Linked DNA regions of Stegostoma tigrinum. The main gene of each other region encodes a partner of the protein of the gene in region 2 in a complex. Links are inferred from orthologs where the notes say so. Each region holds a gene or a part of one and is shown on either strand. Other genes may lie near its edges.

The links. Proteins that work in one complex are often made in the same cells at the same time.
Region 1: the proteins of inhbab (region 2) and acvr2aa are in contact, whole or in part, in a crystal structure (PDB 7U5P), measured with the Homo sapiens proteins. The link is inferred for Stegostoma tigrinum from reciprocal best matches to the Homo sapiens genes INHBA and ACVR2A. Residues at the interface, in NP_002183.1 of Homo sapiens: Ile340, Ala341, Pro342, His346, Arg397, Pro398, Met399, Ser400, Met401, Leu402, Tyr404, Asn409, Ile410, Ile411, Lys412, Asp414, Glu421; in NP_001265508.1 of Homo sapiens: Asn36, Asp53, Lys56, Phe61, Thr63, Lys65, Val74, Lys75, Cys78, Trp79, Leu80, Asp81, Asp82, Ile83, Asn84, Val100, Phe102.
Region 3: the proteins of inhbab (region 2) and follistatin-A-like are in contact, whole or in part, in a crystal structure (PDB 2P6A), measured with the Homo sapiens proteins. The link is inferred for Stegostoma tigrinum from reciprocal best matches to the Homo sapiens genes INHBA and FST. Residues at the interface, in NP_002183.1 of Homo sapiens: Asp315, Phe327, Asp337, Trp338, Ile340, Ala341, Gly344, Tyr345, His346, Gly360, Thr361, Gly363, Phe368, Thr371, Arg397, Ser400, Leu402, Tyr404, Asp405, Asp406, Gly407, Gln408, Asn409, Ile410, Ile411, Lys412; in NP_037541.1 of Homo sapiens: Trp33, Arg35, Val44, Leu45, Arg60, Phe76, Met79, Asp135, Glu152, Pro154, Glu155, Val180, Val181, Asp182, Gln183, Tyr188, Val190, Arg221, Thr224, Cys225, Arg229, Ser230, Ile231, Gly232, Leu233, Glu328.

What each region holds. Positions count from the first base shown.
Region 1 is NC_081360.1:83,447,160-83,454,985, forward strand, and holds the start of acvr2aa (activin receptor type-2A), read left to right. Parts: upstream 1-4,780; 5' UTR 4,781-5,253; coding exon 5,254-5,308; intron 5,309-7,826. UniProt on the Homo sapiens protein: On ligand binding, forms a receptor complex consisting of two type II and two type I transmembrane serine/threonine kinases.
Region 2 is NC_081358.1:9,313,789-9,321,604, forward strand, and holds the start of inhbab (inhibin subunit beta Ab), read left to right. Parts: upstream 1-4,720; 5' UTR 4,721-5,097; coding exon 5,098-5,485; intron 5,486-6,148; coding exon 6,149-6,912; 3' UTR 6,913-7,816. UniProt on the Homo sapiens protein: Inhibins/activins are involved in regulating a number of diverse functions such as hypothalamic and pituitary hormone secretion, gonadal hormone secretion, germ cell development and maturation, erythroid differentiation, insulin secretion, nerve cell survival, embryonic axial development or bone growth, depending on their subunit composition.
Region 3 is NC_081354.1:127,252,300-127,260,140, reverse strand, and holds the start of follistatin-A-like, read left to right. Parts: upstream 1-4,795; 5' UTR 4,796-4,954; coding exon 4,955-5,039; intron 5,040-6,267; coding exon 6,268-6,459; intron 6,460-6,870; coding exon 6,871-7,089; intron 7,090-7,542; coding exon 7,543-7,770; intron 7,771-7,841. UniProt on the Homo sapiens protein: Multifunctional regulatory protein whose primary function is to antagonize members of the transforming growth factor beta (TGF-beta) superfamily including activin, myostatin, GDF11 or bone morphogenetic proteins (BMPs).

The sequences.
Region 1 (7,826 bases), on a different chromosome or scaffold from region 2:
AGCATCTGCAATTCCCATTATCTGTTGTTCTGTAACCTGACTACGTGACAATAAATCTAATTTGGAGTCTCAAAAAAAACTCCAGTCTGACCAGTCTCCCTCCAGAACTCAAACTCTCAAGCCAAGGCAACATCCTGGTGAATCTCCTCAGCACCATCACATTCTCCTGTAGTGTGGATACCGGAATTGCACACAATACTCTACCTGTGGTCTAACCAATTTATTTTGTACATTCCAGCATATCTTTGATGCTCTTCAACTATGCCTCTTCTAATGAAGGCAGATATACTGTACATCTTCTTCACATCATCCACCTGTCCAGACATATTAAAAGACTGGTGTACATGTATTCAAATGCTTTCTGATCCTTGTTGCTTCCCAAGGTCCCACCATTCTGGAAGATTAAACGCAAGCACACAATTTCAATAGATGCAATGTGTAAAATGGAAGTTGCAAGTATCAGAGAAGATGACCATTTGAAATTATTTGCATTTTTATTTTAGTTATGTTCCAAGTAGTATTCAGGAAGATTAGATTTGGATGCTGCCGTCACTGTTGAGAGTCAATCCTATTCTCACCTTGTCCCTTCAAAAACTCTATCCTGCCAATGCAGGTGGATGCCATCACATCATAGTTTCCACTATTTTCCTGGCCTTCCGCCAATAACAATAGTAGGAAAATTTTGTTCAAGGGGCATACTATGTTCTGTAATTTTTACAAAGTCAGACCAAGTTATTTTTTTATTTGGTCATTACAGCACTTTTATTCTCACTTCTTGGTTATATAAAACTGTACATTTGGTTGTTTTATGGAACTGAAATGAAGAAATGATGATGGAATGTGTGGGGAAAAATTTGCTTCACTACATGAGCCCTGAATACTTATCAGTCAGTGACCAGAGAATATGGTAACAAAAAAGTTGACTTAAGATCTGACCATTGTTATTTACATTCACTTTTACAAATAAAGGAGGTCAACCCAAATAGCACCCTTTTTCACTGTTATAAAAATGTCTTTTCTGTGTTGATTTGGTCTGGTTTTTGATGAAAAATACAAACCAGAAACACTGACGCTCTTTCTCTCTTGACAGATCCTGCCACACCTGCTGAGTGCTTCTAGCATTTTCACCTATGTTTATATCTTATGCTCCTTTTCACAAAGGAAAATTTAACCATTACAGGAACATTGCATTGACAAACTCAACATTTACAGGCATTAATGAAACATTTCATTGGCTCTGACCACGTGTTATTTAAAAATGCTGCAGATTTAAAATTGCTTTCAAGCATTGAAAAGATTACATCTCAATTTTATTTTGGTTCTGATGGTATACTGTCATGCCAAACCTACCTGACAATTTCCCAAGAAATGTGAAGTGTTACAATAGAAGGTAAAAGCACAATGATAGCCCTTATTCATAAGGATTATCAATCTTTAGGTTATTTTAAAATGTAATTAACCCCTCAGTTTGAAATAATTTATACAAATCACAAATAAGCTTTCATAGAAATATTGCAACTTAAAAAACATCACTAATTCCAACTTTGTAACAACACCATAGTTCTATATACACAGAATCTCTACACAGCAGCTCCCCTCCATGACTAAAATTCAAATCGCAGGCCTCAGAAGTTATCAATCAAGAACCTATTTTGGTCTTAAATACACTCAATGAGTTGGTCTCCAAAGCCTTCTGTGGCCATGAATTCCACAGATTCACCATCCTCTGGCTAAGAAAATTCCTGTTTTACTCAGTTTAGAAGGGTCTTCCCTTCATTCAGAGACCCTGCTCTCAGGTCCTAATCTCCTCTATTGCTGGAAACATTACCACAGCCCCCTTATCTAGATCTCTCAGTATTCTGAATGTTTCAATGAGATTCCATAGCCTTTATGCCAAGCAGGGATAAATGAATGGAGAAAACAAAGTGAAATGGGTTTGAATGAATTAGCAGGCAATATCATCACTCTTGACTGCTGTTAATCATTGTCCAGTAACCACTGCTTTTATCTGGCATTCACTTAAAAGCAGTTATGGTCACACAGTATTAAAGGCACTAGATAAAATGCAAATTTTTGTTGTTGAATTAAGCAGTGACAGCGTCTAAGATTGATTGGTTTCCAAACTGACTTGACTCAGATCTAAAGAATAATTTAAAGTGGCACACCAGAATGTGGCCAGTACCTTGAGGAACATAATCCCTGGAGGCGATGTATTCTGAACTTTAAGAAAGGAAGGAAGAAAACTGGATGAGGTTAAAAAAAACTTCATAAGTGTTTTGTAAATAAACTGGTCATAATGAAGATTGAAATTTATCGGTGTTTTATTGTCAAATGGTGTCAGCTTCCATTTTGCATTCTGAGTTGTTACATAGAACAAAAAAGCAACTCTACACAAGATACTGGATTTTTAAAAAAATCCCAAAGTTAACAGTTTTAAAATATTTGCCTTCTTTTCCATCTTAATTATGATATTCATGAATGCATGTTGAATTTCCCACAAGATTTCATCAAAACATTAAAGATTAAAAGAATAATCAAATAATAGCTCAATTGAAAGAAAAGCCTTGTTTTCTATTTATAGAAATAGCAGTTGAGGCTCCCCTCCCCCATGAATTGTTTTCCTCACCCTTCTCATTTCTTAACGCTTGTTAACTCCCTGTTAAAAAGGTAGCAGCTGCTGTCTCATACCAGCTCAAGAAGCCATTATCCACGTATCAGCCTTCATAAATATCAAGTTAATTGATCACCAGGCACAGCTGAACCTGACTTTCTTCTCTCCCCCGCGTAACGTGATAACCCAGGCACCCTCTGCAGGTTCAAAGCTTTGATGGAAATCAAAGACATTGAACTCGAATGTAGCAATCCGACTAGAGAAGTAAATCTGTTGCCTATATCTTTATCAGAATTTCACTATTCTGAACGTTACGGAGGATTTTCAAACTGCTGACAGACCAGTTCTCAGGTTGGGGTCAGTGGCGCGGGATTACATATCATTAATTACCATTACTGGAATGAGAAGCAAGTAGTTTGCTTGGCGCAGAAACTTGATAGACAATGTTGCAGGAGTCGCCATAACATTTTCCAGAGGATGATTTAGGAAGTGTAGGTCCAATGTGGGAAGGTATTACATTTAAAGTTTTAACAAATGATAAGAATAGGTTTAATTAGTAGGAGTGACAAGTGTGGGGTTGGCAGAAAGACAAACATATCGAGGTAAAAAGAATGTTTCTTATCAGCCAAATTATGCCAGTTGACTGTCGTCATTCTAAGGTTATCTATTTTACGACCCGATTTTCTTTTACGTGATTGGTCACCAATGTTGCTGGTGATCAAGTTAATGAGACCTTAAACCATTACACCCCATCGACGCAGAAAAATATTTCAGCCGAACCAGTTCGCCCATACCACTCCTACAGGTCGGAGTATTAGAATTGAATTGCACTTTTTGAAAAGGTGCAATCAGAGTGCAACGGTATTTTTAAAAAAATTAGTTTAAGCTTTGAAGGACTGATTGTTGGGGGGCTAGTTTACCTAGTGCATAGTGCATTTTTCAGGTTGAACAAACTTTGTGTAACACGTGCACCATTTCTGAGCAGCACTTATGAATCACTATCGAGGAGCTTTGTTCAATTACTCGCTGAGTAAATCGAAGAATTACAATTACCATCAGTACATTCTTCCGTCGAGCGAGCGGCGACGGTAGCCGGAAAAAATAACTCAGAAGTGGAGTTTGCCACTTACATATGAAGTACGTGACTGTGCACCAAAGTGACAAAAATTCTAATTGCATGCACCATCAGAAACTCCGAAACAGTAATAACATATGTTTAAAATAAGTTCCGGATGAATCACAATACCGAAGTCTTTAAAACAGTGGACTGTGTTGCAAACTCACGACTGGGTACTAATTAATTTGATATGTCACCCTCAGAGCCCTCACCTTCACTGTTAGGAGAGAGAGAGCCGCAACATTGGGCTGACACGGAAATAATATATTTCGACAAGAGACTGCTATTCGAAGAATATTTATTACCCCGAATACTGACTTAGCTTAGCCTTTAACTTGGCTAACAAGACGACTAAAGCAGGGAAGGAACATTGGGGCATCTCAGCAGGCAGGTGCAACAATGAAAGATGCAGCAACTTCAAGGACCTTTCAAGCTAAGATCAGCGAAAAGTTACAACTATTTTGGAGTCGGATTGCATTCCGACACCATGCGCTTTTACCCTACCCACTCTACATATCTTGCGCATCGCTTCCAACCAATTAGCAAAATTCTTCTTATCGGATTTGCACGGCAAGTCTGGAACTTCCTCGCCCAATTAATAAAGCCGCAGCTCTCGATTGCTGGAAGCGCACGTCAGTCATTACCATCAGGCTAGGTTTGAACGCTTCGCCTCAACCAACTTGCCGGCTTTGCTCCACATCTTTTCCCCCATCCCCCGCCAAAAAAAAACACACACACACATATATGCAGTCACGCCTACCTGCTGGAAGGGGATTGGTCAGGATCCAATAATAAACGCGCCTTTTTTTCGCAGGAGGGTGGAAGCGAATTTGTACAATGCAGTGAAGGTCTTCTACTGGTCTCACAGGACGTCAATCACACTGACGCTTGAGACAGGCGGAGCTGTGACTGGTGATGGGCGATGCCAATCGGGTTACGTAAACCGCCTCGCCCCACCGCTTCTCGCTTTTGCTCTGTTTAGGAGGAGGGCCTGTTCGCGAGCTCGTACTGCCGTTTTTTTTGAAATCCACCTCGGGGCGGGGGTTGGGGGTGGGTAGGGGGAAGGAAACAAAAACAATTCAACGCCATTTTGGACTTAGGCCTACTTCGTTAATTATGAATTCCGGGAGACTTCGAGTACACCATTCCCGTCAAAGGAGCTGAGGGTTTGCATCGTATGTTTTCTTCCACACCCTCTACTTTTTATGTGAATGGCGGCTGTTTTTTCTTCCTCCCAAATCATCCCTTGTTGGCGTTATCGGCTCTACACGTCTATGTATTTTGTCAAACAAAAAAACATTGACAGCCGAAGTGTATGCTATCGCTTAAATTCCCTACCTTTTTGAATGAAGTTGCCCACTGAAGAAGGGGGAACGTTTGCTACAAGGTGGATCGCTGCCAGCAGCAAGTCAGAAGACGTGGTGGAGTCGTAAAGATTTTTTTACCCTCGGCTGCGATACAGCGATCGTTGTGTTCTAATTAATCGGTTTTTGTTTTAAAAGAAGACATATCAATAAAAAAAATCATGGGAGCTGGTACCAAGCTTGTTTTTGCTGTTTTTCTGATTTCGTGCTCCTCAGGTAGGTGATAGTTTTTATTGGGCTCTCTTACCCCAGAATTTTTTTAAACCAGTCTTTCACGCACGTAAATCTTAAATAGCATGCGATTTTTTTAAAATTGTGGATGTTGCAATCGAACCTCGCAGCAAAAAAAAGCAAGCTCGTAATTTGGCACAATCTATTTGCTGTTGGATGAGTAAATTCAGCCAGTTTGTGGCGTGCATGTGCTGAGTTTCTGTAGTGCGGTGTTGGTGTTTTACTTGTAATGTTATACCAACAAGCTCAAGGTGACTGATCGGAATAAAGGCAAACTTACTAAATACATAGATAAACGGCCAAGGGTTGACTTTGGTTTCATTTTTTTCCGGAGTATTGCTAGTCTTAAACTATAAGTGACGTTCGATTTAAATTCATTACGTACAATTTTTTTCCGTGAAATTTGTACAACTTAGTAAAATCAACCCCTTCAAAGTACACTTTTTAAAAAAAAAGTAACTGAAAAAAATGGGTGTTCCTATTGCAATCTGTTGCAAAGTGGAAAATCAGTCCTTGTATTGAACGACAAAGATCCTTAGTGATTTTAAGGTGAAAAGTTTTCATTTTTCCCTGTACCTTCCTTTTCATCCTTCCCCGTCCCATGAGAGTAATTGTTTATGAATATTGTAAAAGATGACAGATGAAGCGATAGTTGTACAAAGCATCTCCGCCTGTTTAATTAAAGTTTTGTAACAAGTTACATTGCAATTTTGTTCAGAAAATTGATTTGCAGATATCGTCAAATGCAGACCTGTTGGTGAAAAGGTCGCATTTAATCTGAAGTGCTTATGTACTCTTTTTTAAAGGTTTCACGATCGGCTTTGTAACAGCAGCCATCGTGAGTGGTCCATTTTCATTTCAGAGCTTCGCCTGCTTTGTTATTTAGGAAATATTACTGTGTTCTGAGTTTTATACTACTTGCACAGCAATCATTTATGCAGAATAACGAGCAAAACAATATTCGTGTTGAAACTATACAGTTTGCACAGTGCAAAGCCCAATTCTTCATTTCATGTGAATGTTAAATGTATAAAATTTGTGTCGATGAGATGAAAGTCCATGACACGTAGCTGGTTTATGCTACGCATCTTCTGAGTATTGAGTGTTTATTTTCAATCGTAGTCATTAGACGACTTAATCACTATTTGGAAGTTGTTGTCAGATGTTTTACGGTAGTGAGCTGGCAGTTTCTTGGGCATTTCATTTTGTAAATTCCTTTTGCTCTCTTTTTATCTTGGTCTGCAGAAGGCACAAGTGTGCAATATTTGTATGACTACATTGACACCTTGTAGAAAGTATTTTTTCCAAAATGTTTTAGTGTAGAAGAAAAAGCTGGTTATAGATTAATACAATACAGATGCCTGATGCCCATTTTTGTAGTCAGTTATAACATTCTCCATTTGTGAAATATTTTGATGTATGTAATCTTGATGTCCAGATCTTTTTTTGTGGAAAATAATTGTTGCCGTAACAGAACTGTGAATGATGTGCTTCTGTATAATAAGAAAGATAATATAAAATAGTGCTGACAAAAATCTATGCTAAATTGGCTTTGCCAGCATTCTGTTGTCGAATTTAGCTGTTTATAAAAGAAACTACGTGTGAATTTACCAGATGTGAACCTCCCTGTTTCAGCAAGTAGGCTCCAGCGCAATTATCGAATATAATTAAGAATATCTGATGGAATTTATTCATTAATTGTTTTCTATGGCGAACATTGACCTTTCTAGTATTGAATAGCAGTTGTAACTTTTTTTACGAGGCAATGTTCTTTATGGTTGATTTGTGTTTTGAGTAGATCCTTTTTGGAGGTATGTGGTGGGAAACGTGGCTGTACAAGAGACTTGCTCAACGTTTTTCACTCTAGCAAAATTGGCAGACAGGTTTATTTTTTAATGTGTGTCTTTAGAATTCAGGCTGAAAATTTGAAATAGCATACTATGCATAAATTATAAAGCTTCATTTACTAAAAGGGCTATTCTAGGAGCAATAATTTCAAAGCTTTTTAAGTGTAACTGAGCAAGTAGTTTATTGCAATGCTTAACTTACTGCATTTACAATGGCTAATACTGCTCTAAGCCTGAATGTAGCCAGCAACCCATGTTTAACATTTAGATTTCATATTTCTGTAGGATTTTTAAATATATTTAACAACTGGAAAATACTGTATCTATTATTCAGAGGCCATTTCTAAAGTCAGCAGTGGTCATTGAGAGGGTTAGTATTTTGTTTTCTTTGCTCAAGTTTTGCATTATTTTGTTTTGCATACAAACTGTTTTTCAAGTTACTAATTGTAGGATTCTCGAAATTTTGCCTTTTTAAAATTAATGTGGGTAATGGAAATCAATTTATTTGGCATCAGGTAAATGTGTGCTGATTTTAAGGTATTGTGATATGTTACGTAGACTTTCAGAAGTGTGATTGGATGACTTCAACTTCTAAAATAGGACTTTATCAGATACAGCATGCCTAAGTTTGTGAGATCGTCCTGTAGAGTAAAGGA
Region 2 (7,816 bases):
GGCTATAATTGAATCATACCATTGCCCAATCAGGCTATGTGTTTCAACTACTCATTGTGTTAAAAAAAATTTCCCATGTTGCTTCATGTATTTTCGTCAATTACCTTAAGTCCATGAACTTTGTTTATCAACACTTAAATTATTGGAGATAGACTGGAAACAGAATTATCTAAATATCTCGTGCTTTTTGAATATCTCTATTAAATTGTCTATGAGGCTGGTTAGCTTAACTCCCTACATGGCTTACACATAGGTCAGAATAATGCCAAAAGCACAGGTTCAATTTACACTCTGTTTGAAGTAAGCATAGGACCTTATCCTTGCTCTATCTGTGAGAATGGAAGTCAATGACAATTGGAGACAGGGAATAACTTCTGGCCCAGCCACCAACATTCTCATCACTTGATCAATTGGTAGAAACCAACTACCAACAGAAATGTCAAGAAAATGGCTCAGGTTGAAACCGCAATAGGTGATGTGCCTGCTTTTTGGTTGGAAGACACTTAAATGGAACATAGCCTCAGCTTCTCCAATCTATCCACATAGCTGGAATCCCTCATCTCTGAACAATGCTAGTAAATTTCTTATGTGCCTTTCCAAGACTTGAACATCTTCCCAAAGAACGACACCCAGAACAGGACATTATATTCTAGGAGTGGCTGACAGAGTAATCCATCTCAGTTAACATCCATTCTTTTATACTTAATGCCTATACTTGTCAACTTCAGAAATTCACATCACAGATTCAGACAATGGAAACAGCACTGAAAGAGGCCATTCAGCTTGTTGAGTCTGCACTGGCTTTCTCACAAGCTTCATGACTACATCATCCTCCTGCTTTTTCCCCATATACTTGCACATTGTTTTAATGGAAGTAATCATCCAATGCCTTCTCAGAAGTCTTAATGGCATCTTCCTCCACCACACTTCCAGATGGTATATTCCAGACCCAAGCCACACCTCGTGTGAAATAGATTTTCTTACATCCTATGGCATTGACAAATCACTTTACATCTTTTCCCATCTTGTCCTCAAATCTTTATGGGCAGGAACAGTTTCTCACTATTTACTCTATCTCGACCGCTTGTGATTTTGAAAATTGTTCACATCTCCTCTTAAATACCTTACCACTAAGGAGCATGGCCTCACTATCTCAAATATTTCCTTAAAACTGAAATTTCACATCACTGAAATCATTTTCATGAATCTCTTCTGCTCTCCCTCCAATGCCCTCAAGTGCTGGTTCTCAAAGCTGTTCACAATACTCATCTGAGCACTAACAAGTGTCTTGTGTAAGTTCAGCATGACCTCCTTGCCGTATACTCAAATGTCCTTATTAATAAATCCCAGGATACAATATATTATTAACTGCTCATTTCACCTGCCCTGCCACCTTCACTGATCAATGCACATATGCACCAAGACCAGGGTTGGTTAGCTCAGTTGACTAGACAGCTGGTTTTCAGCACAGTGCGATGCCACTGGCTGAAGTAACCATGATGGACTTTTCTTCTTGGATTCTCCACTTGCCTGAGGAATGGTGACCCCTGAGGCTAATCTACCAACTGTAGACTCTTTTTAATGGGAGACCAGTCTTTTGGGTCTATGACATGTTACCTTACACCTAGGCCCTCTGCTCCTGTACTCCCTGTCTTATATTGTCCGTCCACATTCTTCCTACCAAAATGCAGCATCTCACACTTCTTCACATTGAACTTCATCTGCCACCCATCTGCCCTGTCCCATGCCTGTTTATGTCCCTTTGGAATTCTATACTGTCCTTTTCAGTTTACAAAACCTCTATGTTGTGTATTGTCCGAAACTTTGGGAATATCCCCAGCATTTCAAGATCAAGATCATTAACACATGAAGGAAAGGTATGTAATCAGATATTAACTACTTTGTTAATCTACCCTACTATGTCATCATCTAAGATTTGTGCGCAAACACCAAACCTTCTGTTCCTACGCCACAACATGTCCTCAGTAAGATCCATCTGAATAAGACTTCCTGATAAATAAATATAGTCAAATTTGAAGCTGAAAATGCATTCATACTAGATTAACATATTCATTGTAGCTATGAAAATATCTGAACATTCAAACCATATAGTGATAGCTACAATCGAATGCATTGAGAATTTTATTTACATGTAAATTAAATCATGCACATGCAGATGGCCGGTCCATCTTAAAGGCATGCTGTCACTATTCTGTAATGTCAAGTGTTCATGAACGTGGACACAATTAGTGCACAGCAACATGCCCAATAATGGCACAGAAACTTCCACACATCCAGAATAGTAAAATGTTCTCACAATCCAGCACATACTGGGTCATTGAATGGAAACTGGCACAATGCTGGCCTTCATTATTATTTAATCCACCACTCCCAAAACGAAACAGCCAAGTAACAGTCTAAAAACTATTGGGAAACACACTCATTTGTATTTATATATTATAACTACATACATAAGCACATGTACACACCACTACTTGGCACTGTTACAAACATGTGAGTTCATGAAGAAACAAAGCAGCACACAGCCAGCAGATGGAAGGATACATTCACTTTTTTTTGATGAGGCCAATTCCTTTCTATTTGAAGATTCCAGTCAATCTGTATCCAGAAAAGTTACTGGCACATTGGATTGAATTTCCAGAAATATTCGGCATAGCTAAGATCAGTTGACCCATAACGTACTGGGTTAAAAGCTTCATTTTCTTCCACAAAAAATAGCTAGGGGCTGAATAGAATCCATCCAGAGAGTACAAGTGTTTCAACTGTACTCAGAAAAATTAGGTCTTTTTACTACAGCCAGTGAGGCGGAACAGAAGTGAGCGGTTTATGACAATAGGACTACTAGAATATTCGTCTAACAAGCTCTCATTTAGACGCTAAAATAAAACAAAGAACTGCGGATGCTGGAGATCTAAAGCAAAAGCAGAAATTGCTGGCGGAACTCATGAGGTCTGGCAGCATCTGTGGGGAGAGAACAAGAGTTAACGCTTCACACTGGCCGTGTTAGCAACAATTTCTGCCTTTGGTTCTGAATTAGTCGCGCCGTTTGATTGCATTAGTTATCTACAATGTGGCGCTTTTAAATATCTTGGAGTTGGGGTTGGCGGCGGGGTGAGCAGAGTCTGGAAGAGATATTGGAGGTGAAAGACAAACGCAGAAACGTAAAAAAGAAATGAACACAGGGACAGAGAGACGGCGAGGTTGAGGAAGGGGTACTCTCCCAGCGTGATTCGTTATGTGCAGTTTCACTGATATCTTTACGTGAGCCTGACTCAGTCCTTTACAACACGATGACTTAATGACAACCCCCGTGTTTATTACACAGGCATGAAATACGTCGCGGAAGCCTGTCAAAGCCTGTTCTCCAGACCCGGGATTGGAAACTTTAACAAGGAATATTTGACAACTCAGTATCCTTGAAGTGATAGCCAGCTCCGCCAACTGCGAATCCGGGCGCTACCGCCAGAATGGGAAGTGTTCCATCGGGCATTTACAGTTCCGAGAATTTGTTTCATGTTATGAATTTCAGAACCTGAAAACAATGAAGACAAAATAAACTTTTCGCCCCCCTTCCCCAGGGAGCAGTAGCGCCCGGCTAGAAGCCATTAATTGTCACATTCTGTCATTATACGTAGCGAGGAGTACGCGAAACTGGCTTAAATACGTGACCCACGGATGTAGGTTGAACCTCAAATCATTGTACCTTGCGCGAACTGTATTAGCGATGCAGTTTTGCACCAGCCGTTGACAATCTAACCTTTTGTTTTAGTCCTGTTTTAACCCCACTTCTGTGTTTGTTGTGGAAAACTCATTGTCAGTGAATGAACGCGGTCCTTCCGACATTCAGATACGAGTCTCCCCCTCGCCTCTGGTCCTTTTGACGCGGGTCTGTACTGGTGCGCTGGTTAAAATGCAACAAAGGAGAACAGAGAACTCCACTAGCTTGGCATCTTTCACAGACCAAACCCTCCCAACTGGCATTTAATTCAGCAGAAGGTCTACCGCCTAGATATTTAGGACGGGGGTGGGTTCAGCGAACCGTGCTTATTTGTACCCTGGTTATGATTAGAAGCGAGAGTCAAGCAGGTCTATAAATAAACGACTTAAATTATTTGACATTTTAACTGTTGGAAGGTCCCATCTGCACAGAATTCGTGCTCTCTCTCTCTCCCTACGGTAGCTCATACAGTCTGGTAACAGACGCGCTCATCTGAGAGGAAAGAGAGAGGGAGCCGGTCCCGAAATCAGGGCTGAAATGCCAACTGAGTCTGCGGTGTTTTTTTTTAGATTCGCAGTTAAAGTATTTCAGGAATTCCCTCTCCAATGGGTTAAGAGACTGCAAATACGCAGAAGCACGCATACGTCGATTTGCAATCTGCCTTCCCCTCCCTCCAAGCTCCCACCAACCCCCCCCCCCCCCCCAACCTCCACCCCCAGCCCTTGCCGGCTTATTTTTTTTCCCCTCACACGTTTCGAATTGTAAAAGACCAAAATTTCCCTTCCCCTCCTCCTCACTGGTCCTAACGGCAGGAGGAGAGTACGCCTCCTTTTTTATCCACACCCACCCCCTGCCCTCCCCTCGCCTCGCCACACGCAGTCATCTGTTCCGGTCTGACACTCCTGCCGGTAAGCGCGAACTGTGGTCCCTCAAAAGTGAGGCAGCACTCATATTGCAGCAGTTCTAAGAGGGAGTGAGGAACCGGAGCAGCTCTCCAGTGCCGTGCGTCTCCAGCCTTCAGCACCAGGAGGAGCAGAGACAAGAGAAAAAACTTCACAACTTCCCAAGTGCAAAGTTTGCAGGAGCAGAGACAGATACAGGCTGTCCCAGAGAGGGAGAACAGTTTTACGAAAGGACACCTATCTCATCTCTCCTTCTCCGCCGATAGCCCGCAGCAGCAACAGCATCTGTGCCACCTCCAGCGGGAATCGGAACCAGTTCCTGCCCATTTTTACAAAACTTCTGTCAAATTTATTTTTTTTTTCTCTCTCTCTCTCTGTTGTTGTCTGCAAACGATTTGGGGAATTTCTGCCTCGGCCCCTGCCTCCTGGCTGGCTCCCCGATAACCTGTGAAGAAGATGCCTGGCTTTGACCTGTTGACTGCGATGATCCTGCTGCTGTTGGCTTCGAGTTGGGTGACGGCCTCCCCTACGGCCGCTGCCCAGGACGGACCGGGCTCACAGTGCCCGAGCTGCTCGCTGCCCAAGTTGCAGGGGGATCCGGCCGCTGCTGACAGTCAACTCGTGGAAGCCGTGAAGCGGCACATCCTGAACATGTTGCACATGAAGAGCAGACCTAACATCACTCACCCGGTGCCCAAAGCCGCACTTTTAAACGCCTTGAAGAAACTGCACGTCGGACGGGTGCGGGAGGACGGCAGGGTGGAAATCGAGGAGGACTGGTCCAGCAAGTCAGCCCTGAACGAACCCGAACAAGCATCAGAGATCATCAGCTTCGCTGAAGCAGGTAAGTCACGGCAGTCAGCCATCCTCCAGCCTCACACTGGGTCTCCGATTCGGACTAAAGTGCATTGTAAGGCAAATGTGTTTTTATATCTGCGGGATTATTTATTAATGCAACATCCTCTGTGCAGTACGGTCACAAGGGAAAGGGGTTTAAGGATTGCAAAAGATTTAGACAAGTCTGGATGGGGAATAGATTCACTAGCTGTGTTCAAATTATGAAGGGCTTTGATGGATTAAATAAATAGGAAATTGCTGTCTGTGACAATACGCTTTGAGATCAGGAGGCAAAGAAAACAGAGAGGGGAGATTTAAAACAAAAACAGATTTGCAATGCACTGTCTCAAAGCTCCAAGCAGGCAAATTAAACGAGAACTTTCGGAATGAAAATTGATATCAACTCAGAGAGCACTTTGCAGGGTTATGATGAAAGACTAATTGGCAGCAAGTGCAAAGAGTCAGGATGGATTAAACGGGCCGAATAGCTTTCTCCCAGTGGTGTACGACTGTAGGAGCTAAGCCCGGGACCATTAGTATAAGAAATCAGTAGATCGACCAGCATAATCAGTCGCTTTTTATTCATTATTTGAAATTTTTTTGTTAAATCTGCGCTCGGAATGTCCCGCTCTAACAATGTTCATTTGTCCTCGTCCTTTGTGGCTCTCAGGTCCGTCCCAGGACGTGGTACACTTTCAGATCGCCAAGGAGGAGGAAGGGGACCTTTCCCTGGTGGAGCAGGCTAATATCTGGCTGTACCTGAAGCTCTCGAACAAGTCTAACCGGAGCAGGAGTAAAGTGACTCTGAGACTATCGCAGGAAGGAGAAGGCGGCAGGGTGGTCAGCGAGAAACAGGTAGACATCAAGAGGAGCGGCTGGCACTCCCTGCCCGTGTCGAGGACTGTGCAGACGATCCTGGCCAGCACGGATCGGTCCCTCATGCTGAAGGTATCCTGTGAGCTGTGCCTGGAAGCCGGCGTCTCCCCGGTGCTGATAGAAACCGACGTGGAGGAGTCTCACCGGCCCTTCCTGATGCTGCTGGTCCGGGAATCAACGGCGCACACCCACCGGATACGCAAGCGGGGTCTGGAGTGTGACGGCAAAGTCAACATCTGCTGCAGGAAGCAGTTTTATGTGAATTTCCGAGACATCGGCTGGAGTGACTGGATCATAGCGCCGCCTGGTTACTACGGCAACTACTGCGAGGGCGAGTGTCCCAGCCACATCGCCGGTACCTCGGGCTCGTCCCTCTCCTTCCACTCGGCCGTCATCAACCACTACAGGATCCGAGGCTACAGCCCTTTCAACAACATCAAGTCGTGTTGTGTCCCCACCAAACTCAGGGCAATGTCTATGCTGTATTACGATGACGGGCACAATATTGTGAAAAAGGACATTCAGAACATGATCGTAGAGGAGTGCGGCTGCTCATAAACCCCGTGAGATACACATAATGCAGACAGACTCGGACAGAAAGTCACACAGTGAGACAGAGAGAGAGAGAGTCAAAACAGACACATAGTACACAGATCACAGATTTAGGACAGTTCACCGACTGGGTCTCTCCAGAGCCTATAAAACTAACTCTAGACTTCAGACATTTTCACTCGAGGGTCTGGCAGAGCAATGGGTCGAACTGCACCAAACTCCATGTGGCCCTCACAGCCACCCACTTCTCCCTACCTGTGACTTGACACACCTTCCACTCTTACACACAGACACCTGACTTTTTCTGGTGCGTTGGTTTTGTTCATGTTGTGACACTGAATGGCACTTTCAAAGACAAAATGCACAAGATCTAACTTTCTGTTGTTTGAACGCGGGGCAGAGCTTTACCAAGTAGCTGCACTGTTTTCTTCTTTGCAAAACTACTTCCACGTGTGTAAGATGCCTAAGAACAGAACTATGCAATCTCTTTTTTTTAAAAAAAGGCTTTCTTTGGTTTACCTAAAAGGAGACGCTTGCTTCTTTTGGAAGTAAATATTCAGCTGACGAGAGATACTTGAAAGGAAAGTTCGCCCCGCTGCTGGGCTAAACATTTTTTTTAACTTTGTGATCTTTATGCGATTTGCACTAAAACGACGTTTGCCTGTCTAACCGCATCTTAAACAGAAGTGTTTGAAAGGACAGGGAACTGCACTCAGAACAGAACAAAACGAGTTTCTATGAAATTTTGTATCAACGGTCGAACAGACACCAAAGAGATTTGTGTAAATGTTATTGTGTGATTTCTACAAGGATACTATTTTTAAAAGAAAAACTTTAAAAATGTTTTTAAAAAAACCTGTAGATGAATATGGCTGCAGTATCAGGGTTTGGATTTAATACTCAACCGCTT
Region 3 (7,841 bases), on a different chromosome or scaffold from region 2:
ATAAATAGAACAATACAAAGAATAAGATGTCATAAATATGAACGTGTTTACATTCAGTAGCAGAGTTTCATCTTTATTGGATTTCTGGTCGTCATTCAACTCTATTTATTAACAATGAATATATCAAACAGTCAGGAAAATCGACTAATGAAACTGTACATTTACCTTTCCCTTCTACTGCGCCATTATATGGCATTGCTGTATTCATGAATTTGATATAGTAAATTACAACTTGGATCTGATTTTATTTTTAAAATGTTGAACCTAAAGGTGCTAGTCACGCATCGGTTAGTGCAATTACGTTTCTTTGTTTTTGATTTTTAAAACAATCTTCAGTAAGATATTGAAAGTATGTCAGATTGACTGTAAAAGGGACCTCTTGACACGTACCAAACACCAAGACTTCTTTAGAACTTGTTGACATTTACGACGATATTTATGATGATATATATTGTTTGGGATACTTCGCGTCCCGAAAGTAACACGTTCAGGGAAGTTAAAGGTAATATGTACTTTCCCGTTAGTTTGGTATTATTTGAGGTCCATGTGAGAATTTGCCTGATAACATCGAGCATAACAATCCAATTCCTTCTGTTGAATTATTTGAAATAAATGCTCATAGTGGGGTGCTACTCAATTGCCAAGTTTAGTTTTGACTACTGACAACCTCGATCGAACAAGTGCATCACTTACAGGTGTGATAACGGTTACTCAAATTCGTCAAAAACAATTGTTTTATGGCCTGCGCCATTTCATGAACATGTTTATTTGATACGTAATTTACTTTGTTTTGTCGCTGAACAATTCCAGGTACTCAAGAGTATTAGTCATTTCGTGGCAGTCAATATCTGTGAAAACCAATTTACGAAGTCAGAACCTATTAAGTGTAAACAGTCAGGACGGCGCTCTCTACAAATGCTGATCGATCTATTGTGTTTTTGGTTATTTCCGGCATTTATTAACCGTTTGGTGGTTGATATTTTTCTTATTTTTGTGGATGATTTAATAACAAATGTCTTCCCATGGTTATAAATTAGTAAGGACTTGCCTGATGGTTTGTAAAGCTACGAAAATGTTTAAATTTTCAAAGCACGTAGCAAGCTATTCGAAAATGGCTTTGGGAGGGTATAGAAGCTTTTTTCGAATAAAAGCTGACAAATGTTTGCATTTGTCTCTTAGAGACAGACGACCTAAACCGTTGATTTCAATTCTACCTTAAATGGTATCCAGCAATTAAATGCCAAAGCCCCTCGTTGTTAGTTAATTATTTTTTCCATGCAATCAATAGGCACAACAGTAAAGCTCATTTGTTTCATTTAATTTTGCAGAATATTTGGATATGGATTGTGTTCAGATCTTAGAATTAACTATAGTGTTCTGCATATTAGAAGCAGTAACTAGGCCTATGCTGCTTGACGTATTAGATTATCTAAGGAAATAACCATATTCGTAACCAGCTTCAAATACAAATATATTGATAAATAATATCGTACTCGTATCGAAACAATTCTGGATTGTAGAAGAACGCAAATTCTGTTTCACATTCGGATTGCTGAATGATTGATTAACAATGTTATAGTCTTGTGAAAAGCACCAAATATTGTAAATACCTCGGAGCTGCAGATTAATTGTTTCAAATGCTGTTATGAAATTGACAAGGTTTCTGTTTTCAAAGTGGAAGTAACGGATTGCCTTAAAGTTTTTGATTGCCATAGTAAATTGTTGTTAGTCACCATAACTTAAACACTTTGACTCATATTCTTAATTGCTCAAGTTTAGTATGAAACTCATCAATATCCGTAAAACTTCCAACAAGCACCTGTCGGATTCTGGAAACTGGGTCAAAAATGTGCATGAGCGTATACAACTGTCGTCCTGCAGAGGTCTCACTTCAGTTTCCTTGTAGACGAGCGGAAATTGCATTTCAGTCTCCTTTATTTTCATTCTCATAAATTTCCACCCTCGACATTCCTGTTTCCCGCCCTCACTATCTATCCCCTCACTGGGAAATGATAGCCTAGCGGTGTTATCAGTAAACTGTTAATCCAGAGACCCAGATAATGCTCTGGGGAGCCGCTTCGAATCCCGCTATTGGCAGATGGTGGAATTTGGATTCAATAAAAATATCTTGACTTAAGAGTCTAATGACGACTTGGAATCGATTGTCGGGGAAAAACCCATTTGGTTGGCTAATGTCTTTCAGTGGAGGAAACTGCCATCCTTACCTGGTCTGACCTAAACTCACAGCGATGTGATTAACTCTTAACTGAAGTTACGGATGGGCAATAAATGCTGCGTAGCCAGGGACACCCTCGTCCCGTGAATCAATAAAGGAACTATCTTAATGTGCTATTTTATATTCCCCTTTGTTGCAGCATTTATCCTTGATTTTTCATTACCATTTTCATTACCATTTATGGATAACGATTTATATTGCGCAATACTTGTTTTCTATTATTTTTCACACCCGTCAGTTTGCCTCCAATATTAATCTTTTAAATTTATTGTCAATTCTATGTTTGTTTTCAAAACTCTTGTTTTTCCTTTTATTGTTTTTGAGGATGTAAATTGCTCAGCAGTCGGTATTATTCGCTAGATGTATCAGAACTGGGTGAGATTGTCCAGTTCGTCAGTCCTCAATCTGTAACAGATACTTGATGTTGGATTACAAACGTTGAACATCCAATAGCCAGAGTGACACGCACATAAAACGAAGTAAATCACGAGAATGACAGATGTGCGTAGTTCCCGTTGGAAGGGGATTTCAGAAACAAATACATAGGTATGTGAACAACATTGGCAAGAGACACATGGCACAATGGCAGTACAAATATCTTCATATTGGTAATTTCCACTGCCTATTTAAAAAAATAAATTCTAATATAATGTGATGTCTCGCGTCTACCTAATGTTGTTATCTACTGCTGCGCAGTTTGATTTGGGAATGGTAGGTGTATTTCGGTATGTTTTAGGTTATCTTGGTTTTTTTTACCAGTATCTGCTCAAACCCAGACTTCCTTCGCCAGGTGACAGTTACGTTGACTTTTCACGGTTCTAACTCTACTAACACAGAATCTAGATTTGGCAAGAAGGAAAGTCTCTGGTCGCTTTGGCGAGATAAACTGGAAATCACGATTGGTGCACACTTTAGCTGCAATTGCCTCGTTTGGATCGTTAGGGGGCTGCATTAGTTTTTTTTTGCACGTGTATCAAACCACAATTGCCATGTTGTGGAATAACAGGCCAGGATAATCTGGGACAGAAAATACGGTTTCGCAGCATTGAAAACGGAAATTATTTGCGTGGAACTGCCTTGTGCAACAAGTTTTCCTACTGTCCGCTGGCATGGCACTGTCAGGTCTATTTTGAACGTTAAATAGTGTAACTACTACCACCAGCCTGAGGCACCCAAACAACTGTCTCTGCTAATATTAGAATGATTGCATTTCTGACGATTATTATAAAGAGACTTTAAGAACCTATTGTAATAAGTCTTTATTAAAGGATTACTACTTTATCCCGCAGCTGGTGGAAACTGTCTGTTATCGCGGAGTTATTTCTAGTCAGATCATTGCACCTATCAACACTAAAAAAGTTGTCTGATTGTTTGTACCTATCAGGCTGAATACAATTAAAGTCGGACCGCGCGTTTTATCTTTTTCTTGGGGTGAGGTTTCGGACAGAACGCAATAGCGCCGAAACGGTAATGAAACAAGGAAACGTAATCCCCGAGATAGGCGGCGACAGATCGCCTACGTACTTTTTCTCTCCGCCAAAAGCGAGTTCATTGAGCAACACTAAAATTCGACTTTCGATGTCACAATCTCAAATGGAAAATACGAGACCGCCTACGGCATTTCACAGACATGCGAAGTCTGCTCCAGTTACAGAGACGCGTAACTTTGCCAGATCTGGGTATTAAATCTAACTGCTTTTCCAATACCTACTGGCTGAACACACCCACGGTGTCAGTGTCCTTGGTTTGCACTATAGCCATTTAATACAGTGATGCATTTCCCGAAATACTCAGGTGGCAAGAAATCATTAATATAAATAATAAAACTAAAATACTGGTAATAGTTCAAACTGTAGGAGTCTGCAAGAGAACACTGCAATGCAAAAACCACCCCACGCGCTTTTTGATGCTGAGTTAATGGAGATTAGACATAACAATAAACTCTTTTCAGTACTATCCAACCCTCCGAGACATAGACATGAGACGAAATATCGACATTACGTACACAGGTTATGGGCGAGCTGAGGGTGGAGTTGTCGCTTTACCAGAGAAATTGGATTAGAAAAGCTGGGCGGCATTTACTCTGGCTGCTGTTATATTTTCTTGTGCATAGATTGAGACCAGTTACTTTGACCCACTGATGGTGTCTGGCTTCTATTTTCGGAATATAGCTTGGTTAAAAAATCAACAGGTTAGAATGTCTACTGCGCTGTAGATATAAAGGTGGCCCAATAAGAGAACAAAATAAAGCAGAAGCCTTAATACACCTAGGAACAGTATATTTTACTTCAGCCCCTTCCCGCCCCCGCAATCTTTCTCCATGAGCTTGTACAATCTTGTCAATTACAGAGAGAAATTGACACTGTGACCTGTAACCAGACTCGGATGCCTACGCTCTCGGATGTTATACAGATGTATTTTGTGTTTGTGAAATTGACGGAGATTTTAACTGAAAAGTTTAGAGGAGGCGGTGAAATGTCACCTGATTAAGTTTCCGTCCACCTTAACTTTTTTTTGATCACTTCCTCCTCCCCCATCCTGCCAAACGCATCACCATGCCATCAGAAGACCGCCCACCAAAGAGACCAGCCAAGACCCCTTTCAGCCAAAATATTTAAGAGTGACTGCATTCACAGATTGACGTTCATTCAACACAGCGATCGGACTTGACTGGTGCTCTCAGATCAGTACTTAGCTGCGGTGAAATTGCGTGCCACAATGCTAAGGATGCTAAACAGCAGAACAGCGTCTCTCACCATTTCACTTTTTATCTTCCTCACCATTGGAGACCAGCGAGTGCAGGGTAAGTTAAAGCAGTTTGGAGACCTCTTCTCTGTATACATTTGTGGACATGGCTCTTAGTTTCATGTTCTGTTTGGTCATGTGCCTGCATGTTATTTTCTCGAGTGAAGATAAAGCCCAACGCTGATTCGGTTTATCCTTTACTTCTACTCCAAACTTTTCAGATCAAAATACGATGTAGCACACGTGTTTGTGTACTCAATTCACATTTACCAGAATGTGGCCGTACAGAATTAAAGCAGGGTGCAATTTAGCATTATCTCTGAGCAAATAGTTAAGCATAAATAGGATGTGCTGGGATCCTGATAGTGAAAGTTTACTCGATCACTATTCAGTTAGAAGCAAAGGGGAATTGCTGATAAACAAAACGCCTCATTGATGTTGCAGATGGATCGAACATGTAAACGTCCGATCGAGCTGTTAAATGTTGCTCACATCGGTAACACCATGCGACTGAAGCAGGATTAAGAAGCGAGTATGATAACTGGGTCCAATGGAAATTATTGACTTGTGTGATGTTAAATTTGCCTGTTCTATATTGCTACCTCAACAAAGTCTCTTCCATGTAACTGAAAACTCGATATACAGTATATATTTAGATTGATATCAGGCGGTATCAACAAGAAGTCTAGACTATCCAGAAGAGGCAGCAGAGTTCAGGCATTTTTGGAACGAGTTAATACTACAGAAAATAGACTATGTTTCTATTCCGGAGTGACTGTATGAATAGATTTTTAAAAATCAACGGTTAACACTTAACACATAACCGACGCCGTAGGTAAATACAGAATAAATACAGACGCTTGTCGAATTGTCAACCAAAGTTTGTTTTCGCATGAGTCTGAGACAAGTAGGCCGCCAATCATTTATTTATTTCGGATTTTGCGCTCTGCGTTTTCGCTGTAAGGATGAGTTTTGGCAGTTTTTTTTGTTCCACCGCACGCGTTTACAGTACTTCAGCCTGCGCTGTATTGGGTCAGAGCCAAGTAACTTTCCAAGTGGGACATGTCACGATTCAAAGTAGGCACAAGGTAATGGCAGAGAGGTGTACATTTCAGGGGCAACCCGGTTACTGTCCATGGCGGGGAAATGTCGGTGGTTTTAAGCTCCTCGGTTCACCCAGACTGAGACGGAAAACTTTGAAGTAAACACTCGTGTACCGTCAATACACAGCGCACGTGTTGTGTCTGGAACGGTGAAACTGACACTGCTCTGACTGTGTGTTGCAGCTGGGAACTGCTGGCTCCAGCAAGCCAAGAACGGCAAATGCCAGGTTCTTTACATGACCGGGGTCAGCCGCGAAGAGTGCTGCAAAAGTGGAAGGTTGGGCACAGCATGGACCGAAGATGATGTGCCATCCAGTACCCTTTTCCGATGGATTATCTTTAACGGTGGAGCCCCGGGTTGTACGCCTTGTAAAGGTACAGATTTCACTCGGTCTATCTGATTCGGAACTGTTGGTGCTCATCTTCACTGGATCCTGCAAGGCCTATTAAAGTTTACAGATCGCTCGCGAAATGATTCTAATGCGCGTTTGCTTTGGCTAATCACCCACTCGGTCTCGACTCATTGGAGTGAACTGCTTCAGAAAGACTCGCTGGATTGTCATGGCTTTCTAAGCGGTTTGTTAAGATGGCGACTGAGTCTGCGCTGTTTTATCAAACCTTGCATTAAACATCTGGAAACAGAAAGCTTATAAAAATGCAAAACGTTCTGTCATAAATTACTCAGTTCAGTTAGTAAGAATGGGCATGTAACTTTACATTTCGAACATTATATTGATGCATGGAAGCAATTTCCACAAAACTCTTGTCTTTCTTTCCCTGTAATAGAAACCTGTGATAACGTCGATTGTGGTCCAGGTAAAAAGTGCAAAATGAACAAAAAGAATAAACCTCGATGTGTCTGTGCACCCGACTGCTCCAACGTCACTTGGAAGGGCTCCGTTTGCGGCACAGACGGGAAAACATACAAAGATGAATGTGTCCTGCTGAAGGCGAGGTGCAAAGGGCATCCCGAACTCGAGGTCCAATATCAAGGCAAATGTAAAAGTATGTGTGCAACAAGTACATACTCAATAACACGATTCTGCAAGGGACGAGCCGCTCGCTTAAAGGATGTTTGCATTCCATTCTCTCCTAGTGCGAACTAACAGATTGTTCAACTCACTTGCAGTGTCTATTGAGTGATTCTCCACACCGCCCGCATTTTAACTTTGAATTGATTTGTGTTCAGAATAATTTCCCCCACATTTTGTTCCTAAATTAAATTGCGTTCAGTAAATGTTTGTAATTGGGGTAGTATAGAAAGTGGATTATTCCACCGCCATTTCTTTATTGTTCCAAATCCTCGCCTATTAAATAAATATTGCAAATTTAAAAGTGATCTGTGTTTACTATGAACACTAACTTAAACCTCATAAAATCAGACGATTGTATTGCAGAAGATTACTTCCAGTAGTGCTCACCTCACTTTTGTTTTTAATTGCTGTCTTTGTTTTACAGAATCATGCAGAGATGTCTTGTGTCCAGGCAGCTCTGTGTGTGTGGTAGATCAGACAAACAGCGCCTACTGTGTGATGTGTAACCCGAGGATCTGCCCTGAACCTTCGAGCCCCGAGCAATATCTGTGCGGCAATGATGGGATCACGTACGCCAGCGCCTGCCATATCAGACGCGCCACCTGCTTGATGGGCAGAACCATTGGAGTGGCGTACGAAGGGAAATGTATAAGTACGTACACGATACCTCACAAAGCGTAAACTGCAAACCATTACGAAACAAGTACAAATACAGCGTGGGAT